Linked DNA regions of Coturnix japonica. The protein of the gene in region 1 interacts with the protein of each later gene in a pairwise test. Links are inferred from orthologs where the notes say so. Each region holds a gene or a part of one and is shown on either strand. Other genes may lie near its edges. The genes, in order: EFHC1 and KCTD4.

Evidence for each region.
Region 2: the proteins of EFHC1 (region 1) and KCTD4 interact in binary tests that used the Homo sapiens proteins (3 or more experiments, as listed by UniProt). The two-hybrid records come from large-scale screens. The link is inferred for Coturnix japonica from reciprocal best matches to the Homo sapiens genes EFHC1 and KCTD4.

Annotation. Positions count from the first base shown.
Region 1 is NC_029518.1:98,073,306-98,077,228, reverse strand, and holds the start of EFHC1 (EF-hand domain-containing protein 1), read left to right. Parts: upstream 1-1,124; coding exon 1,125-1,187; intron 1,188-2,288; exon of another isoform or gene 2,289-2,551; coding exon of another isoform or gene 2,552-2,563; intron 2,564-3,923. UniProt on the Homo sapiens protein: Microtubule inner protein (MIP) part of the dynein-decorated doublet microtubules (DMTs) in cilia axoneme, which is required for motile cilia beating.
Region 2 is NC_029516.1:150,110,279-150,114,201, reverse strand, and holds KCTD4 (BTB/POZ domain-containing protein KCTD4), read left to right. Parts: upstream 1-1,430; 5' UTR 1,431-1,930; coding exon 1,931-2,704; 3' UTR 2,705-3,481; downstream 3,482-3,923.

The DNA.
Region 1 (3,923 bases):
AGTTGTAGAGATGCAAGCCTTGTCTTAGCCTTGCCAAGACTGATTTGCACGTACAGAATTTGCTGTCAAAGATGCCCCTTTCTTCCATGGTCTTCCTAAATCATACATCCCCATCTGCCTTCAAACACTCAGAGGAAGTGAAGTGTTCCGATCCAGTCCCTGCTCATATCTGGAGCCAAAAAGGCAAGTTTCCTTCCCTTAGGAAGGTACTGGCCCTTGTGCTCAGGATACCTGCTGAATGATGGCTGGATCCCACACCAGGAGCAATCAGACAGACTGCTTAAGCCCCAACAACACCCACATCCAAGCCAGTTCCTCACTGTCTGCTTGCTGCCTTTCAACCCTGCTTGGCCTTCAAGTTATTATTTCCCTTTCTGAGCCCATCAGACACCTTTATCTCTCCCTGCTGCTTTTAGTCTCTCTGTGTTCCTGCTTGACTTCTGCTTACAGACTCAGATCCTGCTGCCTGCCCATGAATCACAGCCTGCTCTGTCTTACACACCAACATAAAGGCACTAAAGGGAAGAAGAAACACAAAACCCTCTTTTCTCCTTGGTGATCGACGTGACTCTCCTTATCTGTTACATTTAAGAGCAACTTTCCCACAGGATCTTTACATTTAAAGGCTTTCCTCCTTCCTATACGTGAAATCTCACACTGTGGGGGATCTGTGTCAGTGTTATAACTGGCTATTCCACAGCTAATGTGTATATATATATATATATATATATATATATAACATGGTTAATAAGCACAACCTCTTCTCCTGTGGGGTATTTTGAGAACTTGGGTAGAGTCTCACAGCTACTTTTCTCTATGAGGAGGGCAGGCCGCCCACAGCCTGGACATGTTTTCAGTCTCACATACACAGGCCCAGCTGTGAGAGCAGCACAACTACATCCTGCAACAGGGAAAGAAATACGAGGAGGAACACTTTCCACAGCCTCAAGGCAGCTGCTTTTACACACAACGGGGGTGGTGACAGCCGAGGCCCAGCCCCTCAGGGCCCTTAGCCGGGACAAGGCCGCAGCCGCCGTTAGTCTATTGAACGTGCGTATTAGGCGGGGCCTGGTGATTGCCATAGAGACAGCGTCGCTGGGAGCTGGGAGGTGAAAGCAGCCGCCATGAGCTCGGAGCCGAGGCCGGGTCTGCCCTTCCTCCCGGGCTGCTCCTTCAGGGACCCCACGGTGAGCGCAGCCCCTGCTCAGCCCAGCTCTCGGGACCCCTCAGCATCGGTACCCCCAGCCCCCGCCTGGTCTTGAAGGTAGCCCTTGCTGGAGGAGCCCTGTGAGGCTTCTGCACAGCCCAGATGCTATGGGGGACTTTCACTGACCCGTGGTTCCTTGGGGATCCTGGTGTCCTTGTTCACGCTCCCAGGGAACCTGGTACTGTCTCAGACCCTCCTCTAACTCCCCAGTGGACCTGGTATCTCCACATTCACCTTATATCTTCTCAGAGGCCTACCCTAGTCAGCTTGTGGTTTGCCCAGATCACCTCCTAATCCCCACAAGAGGTTGGGTACTTCCTCAATTAATCTGAAATCCCTGGGGGAGCTGGTATCCTGTGGATAACCTGACACCCCAGCTCACCTGATGCCCCTCAGGATATCCACCAAACTGACTCTCAAAGGGCTTGAGATCCTTATAAACTCACCCAAGGGAGCTGAAAACCACTGAACTCTTTGCCCAGGGAAGCTGGTTTTTCTCTAAGCCAACAGCTGCCTGCTGAGCTCACTCACTCCTGGGGGGGGGAATGAACTCTCTGAATCCACTTGCTTCCCCTAACCTCATCCACAGGAGCTCCCTGAGCTGTCCCAAGGCAATTTCAAGTCAAGACAAGTTCCCAGAGCAACAGATATGGCTGAGCCCAGCCTCCTTGGTGCTTTTAAATCCATCCCCAAGATGCCATTGCATCTTGCACCCATCTGATGTCCCCTTAAACTGCCCCAAAACAGAACCACTATCTGCAGACTTAACCCTGGGGATCTAGTACTCATGAATCCATTTTTTAGTTGCCCTGCCAATTCATATGGTACCAAAAGGGGAGCAGCACTCTAAAACTGACTTTATAAACAGGCAGACCACTTCTGAACCACCTCAGTTATGTGTTCTGTTTCCTTTGTGGCTCTGGACAGCCTGGTCTAGTGGCTGGCAATCCTGCACATAGCAGCGGGGTTGGAACTAGGTGGTCATTGTGATCCTTTTCAACCCAGGCCATTCTATGATTCTATGAACTTACTTCTCATTCTGGTACTGCCCTGAACCAGGACCCATACAGTCACCTGATTCTTCCATAGATGCCTTCCTTGTATTGCCTGGAGAATTTAATGCTTGATAGACCATATGAAACTGATGCTCTGGAACCTGAGAACTGAGAGTCTGGTCAGAGAACTGGTATCCCTCCACTGAGCTGATACCATTGCAGCCTCCAGAATTCTCAAGGAAGTGAAACTTCTCAGCTGTACTCACACTCCTTGGAAGAAGTAGACTCATCCTCTGCATTTGAATAGATACCTAAATAAGGAAGCAAGCTTTCCTTTTCCCCACTCACAATGGTCAACAAGGTGAGGATCTGGTAACCTCAAATCCTCCCAATATCCTCTTGCAAAAGCAAGATGAAAAGCAATACACCCTGAGTTCCTTCTAGTGCTGTTTTAGAGCAGCTGACAATTTGCATTTCCTTCTCCATGGGAAGTTAATATCTCAGATCTTGATACTGTTACTCATCTTCAACTCAGTGCTACTATAATTGCAGTTTTAGAAGCCAAAGTCTTTGAATTTTCCTGACTGCTTTGCTCAGAAGCTCACAAACTTCGGTAGGAAATGGATACAGCAGGGCATGCCTGATGTCTCTGTGGAACCTAATAGCTTTAAGAATGGGCTCCCAGTACCTAGAAAGGCCTCACTATGCTCCGGTATTGCAGGATAAGGAACATCATGCGCTTGCATCTGATCCTTGTTATGTGGGGCATGCTCCATTGCAAAACAAACAGACAAAAATCTTGGGGCATGTCTTTGATATTCCTGTTGAAAACTAACCCTTCCAGGGCAAGACCTTCTATGTCATCCTGATACCTCTTGTAGATCCTTCTCCACAAAAGAAAGACCATTGTACTAACACAGCCCTCGCTTTGGGATAAAGGATAAACCTTCTCAAGGGATGGTGAGCCCCACTGCAGGTCAGTCAAAGTTCTATCCATATCACAGAGCCTCTTAACTTCCACTGTACCAACCCCAGCGGTGCCTTCCAGCACAAACAGTCACACTGTTTTCTAAGTCAGTGACGACTGAGTTTTCAACAGTAAATGGAGTCATTCACTCATAACAAATACTCTCAATCGTGCAGTTATAAAGGTTATCTCAGCATTATTCTCAGTAACCACTTGGAAATTTACAATGCAAATCTCTGCCCCTAGCAAAATATTATTTCTTCTATCAGCAAAACCCCACCTGCTTTAGTCATGTGCGTGCTTCTACTGACATCAGTGGCGCTGTGTGCAGAAGAAACACCCAGAGGATTTAGCAGATCAGATTGTTATTTCAGAGTAACTGGAAGTATTGCCCTACTGGTGATGTTTAAGTCGATCTGCACTCCAGAAATGTCTTTGCAATGTTGCTCAGTGAGTGTTATCACCTCACTTTGCCTCTATGTTCCAGCCTATAAAATGATCAGCAAGATACTTGTTTTCTATGTGAATTTGGAGACATGCTGTAAAAAAACCTCTGCATTCAGATAAGATAACGTAGTTAGTTACTGGTTATTCAGATGCACTCTAACGAACTGAGACCCTGGGAGGAGAAGCAGTGTTTATATGAAGCTCTACAGACATGGCAAGAAATACTTAATTCAGTAGCATTTCTCCAATATGGGCTGGCAGCAACTGAGATTAGGAGTTTACATTCTGGGTTTTCCCTTTCAGTTTT
Region 2 (3,923 bases), on another chromosome or scaffold:
TCTTGGAAAACCCTGCTTACTTCTGCAAGGACATTACTTGTTCAGCCTCAGTGTTTCAGCAACACCATGCTGAAAGCACCACAGAAATCATTCTCTTAGCAGCCATTAACACTATATTTAACACTAAAGTTATATATGATATAAGCACATTAGCTGAATTTTCCATCACTGGATAACAAATTTAATTTCAATGGGAGTCTCTTGCAATGACAAAAAAAAATATAAATTAAATCAAACTATTCCAGCCTTTCACTTTCTTGATTATTCTCTCGATAAATGTGAATGGTGTTGACTTTGAAAAAAAAAAAAAGTTTAAATGTTTAAAAATCAGAAAGTGGTTGAAATTTAGCAATGCTAAATGGTCCCAAAGAGTTAACATTAAAGCCATGACTAATTCCTGATAAAATCAATCTAATGAATAATATCTGTTTAATGTATCACACACAGCAGCAGAAAAAAACTGAGTATCAGTGGTAGGGATACCCTGGCAAGGCTGAATAGCAGATTTAAAAAGTGCATTTATTTGTACTAGGTTTAATTACCAATTAATAAAATATTATAGTGATGATTCTACAGTATCGATAAACAGCCTTAGAGACAGCGGGAACAGTATGAGTAATATCTTTAGAAACAGAGAAATTCACAGAAGGATCATCTGACTTTCTGTTGTTTATTGGGCAAAGCAAGAGGAATCCACCTGTAGAAGTGAAAAACTCTGGACAAAGATGGGTTCGGCTCCCCCTGGCCAGCCCAACGTTGTGCTCACTACTCACAGTGCTCACTGCTCACACTGCTCTGGATGCACACGGTGCCTCCCACCCCCTGGTTCCCCCTGGCCCCAGGAAATGTATGTACAGATGTATGCAGAGCCTTCCCCTCCCTGCTTAAAGGGGAAACCTTTCCTTATAAAGAAGCCCAAGAGCCAACCTCAGCGCAGCTTCACAGAGAGGAGACAGCCATTTGATTGTAGCACGCTCTGCCGCTGCTCCCCCCATACACAAGTGTTGCTAAGCTGTAACGTTATGTGATGTTCAGCACGCTGTCTGTGAGCACACTAACCCTTTGTTCACAGGGCAGCCGATGCTGCTATTGAAAAAGAAAGAATTGATGCTACTTAGTGACTTAAGAAACAGCACGCATGTGAACAGCAAACCGCTCTCCTCTCCAAAACAATTTTTATCTATGGCACAGATAAAGCTAAACCTCATTAGGCTGCAATGCTTGTATTGGTGCGGATGCTTCCATCAGATGAAAATGGAAGCTTTCATCACAAACTTAAACGCACCAGACAGACAAGCCTTCAGCATCACTTCTAAAGTAACAGTGTGAAAACATCTCAGCGCCACACACACACGTCCTATATGTGAGGAATAACCAGAACTGATACCTCTCTGCGTACTACTAGGGATGCCTTCACCTTCAGTGCTGCCCTGTTGTACGCTCAGGTACCACAGATAATACAAGGAAAATGTAAAAATAAGCTCTGTGCAAACTGAGATCCTTGCACCATAAATGAAGTAGAGTGTTTAACTCCAGAAGCATTACACACGATTTGGCCAGCTGATACTACAAACGCGTCGCAAAGCATTAAAAACAAGGTGCCCTTTAGAATAGCATTACTCATTTCTGTGTGGAACCCTCAAAACTCTGTAAACTTCCAAGGTGTAAGGACGGAAAGAGAAGTGGTTTTTATCCCCTCCTTCCCTCACACAGTTAAATGCAAATTCCCTCTACAGTCATATTCCTGCCATCTCCCTGCATACACAGCTGATACGCCACCTACTGCAAAACCCAGCTGACAGCCCGAGCAATGCTAGCAGCATTTCCATTCCAACATCGTGCCAGAGCCGAAGAAAGGTGCTCTTAAATCAAAATCTCTCCCTTTTCAAGCTGACAAGAACAAAGCAAGATCGCTGTGCTCGCTTCGATAATGGAGAGAAAATCAAACAGAAGAGCAAAGGAATCTGAAGAAAACCACAGCAACTTCGAGGGCTCTGAGCAAGACAAGGACTATAAAACGTCTCTGGTTACTCTGAACGTTGGCGGCTATCTGTACATCACACAAAAACAAACATTAACCAAGTACCCAGATTCTTTCCTCGAAGGTATAATCAATGGAAAAATAATGTGCCCTTTCGATGCGGATGGACATTACTTCATAGACAGAGATGGACTCCTGTTCAGACACATTCTGAACTTCCTCCGAAATGGAGAACTTCTTCTACCGGAAGGGTTTCGAGAAAATCAACTTCTGGCACACGAAGCAGATTTCTTTCAGCTGAAAGTCTTATCGGATGCAGTAAAATCGAGGTGGGAGAAGGAGCAGCTCGCGTCTCGAGAGACCACTTTCCTGGAAATAACTGACAGCCACGACCGCTCGCAGGGGCTCCGGATCTTTTGTAACGCTCCTGATTTCATAGCAAAAATTAAATCCCGAATCGTACTGGTGTCCAAAAGCAGGCTGGATGGATTTCCAGAGGAGTTTTCAGTCTCTTCCAATATAATTCAATTCAAATACTTCATAAAGTCTGAAAATGGTACGCGACTTGTGCTGAAGGAGGACAACACCTTCGTCTGTACCCTGGAAACTCTTAAGTTTGAGGCAATTATGATGGCTTTAAAATGTGGATTCAGACTGCTGACCAGCCTGGATTGTTCCAAAGGGTCTATTGTTCACAGCGATGCACTTCATTTTATCAAGTAATTACAAAGGCAGAGGAAACAAGCATGCAGTCGGCAGACCTCCTTTAACGGCAGCGTCCTGGCATCACAGATCTCGTATCTAACCAGCCCTGTACCACACAGCTCGGCTGCTAATCAGTTAATGTGAGCTAATGGTATGTAAATCTCGTAACGACATCCATCTCCGGCTTATTCGAGCTGAGTGAAATTTTTATTCAATTCAAGCATCAAATTTATCTGCTAACCACTGTAAACAGAGACCGAACGCTTTCTGGTATTTGTACTATGTTTTTTTTTTTCATGCTGTCTTTCAACCGGGAAGTCTGGCTGAATTTCTGTGTACTTGTATGACTAACACGCATACACCTCACTGCTCTGTCGAGCAGCACAGAGACTGTTCTCATACAACAGGCAGGCTCACGATATGTTCTGCTGCTCCTCATGAATTCAGAATGGATTTTAACTGGAATAAATGATTTTCAGTGTTCCTTAGTGTTGATGCTAATTTGTTTTTATGACGAGTTTGCAAAAAAAAACACATGAAATTGAAAGAGGGTTTAAAATTAATCTGCTCGATTCTGAAGTCAAACAACTCTGATTTCAGCTCTCTTAAAAAGAAATTTACAGCTGTGCTACTACATTAATAGCAACTGCTAAGAACATGTCAGCCAACCAGTAATGCTGGGGGGTCTGTTTTATTATGGAAAATGAATTCACTCTAAAGAGAATGTTGCATTTTTCTGGTTATATATGTTTATCAGATGGCTAATAAAAATGTTTGGCATAAAATTTCATGTAACAGGTTTCCAACAATTTTGTGTAACAGGTTTCCAACCTCCTACAGTGCTGAAGGCACTATTTTCTACTAATCAATCATTGGTGATCATAAAGAGAGGCAATTAGCAGAGCACAACAGCCTACCAAAAGCAGGTAGTGGTATTAGTTTTGAATAGATCACCTGCTAGCATTTAGGAAGCATTAATATGAGCGGTGGAACAAATACCTTCTTTCTCCTCATGTGCACAGTTTATTACATCTTCCTGTTTGTATTTTAAACAAAGTTTACAAACCAGTCACTCCACAAAAGCCAGCTGAAAAATCATCACATAATGCAAATGGAAGCTGTACAAACACCGAGTTTAAGCTTTGACCATCGGTGAACTCTATCATCACACAGAGCTCAAATGAACCCAAAACTCAAGTGAAATGCTATTAGAGAAAGTAAACCCAGGCAAGTGGTT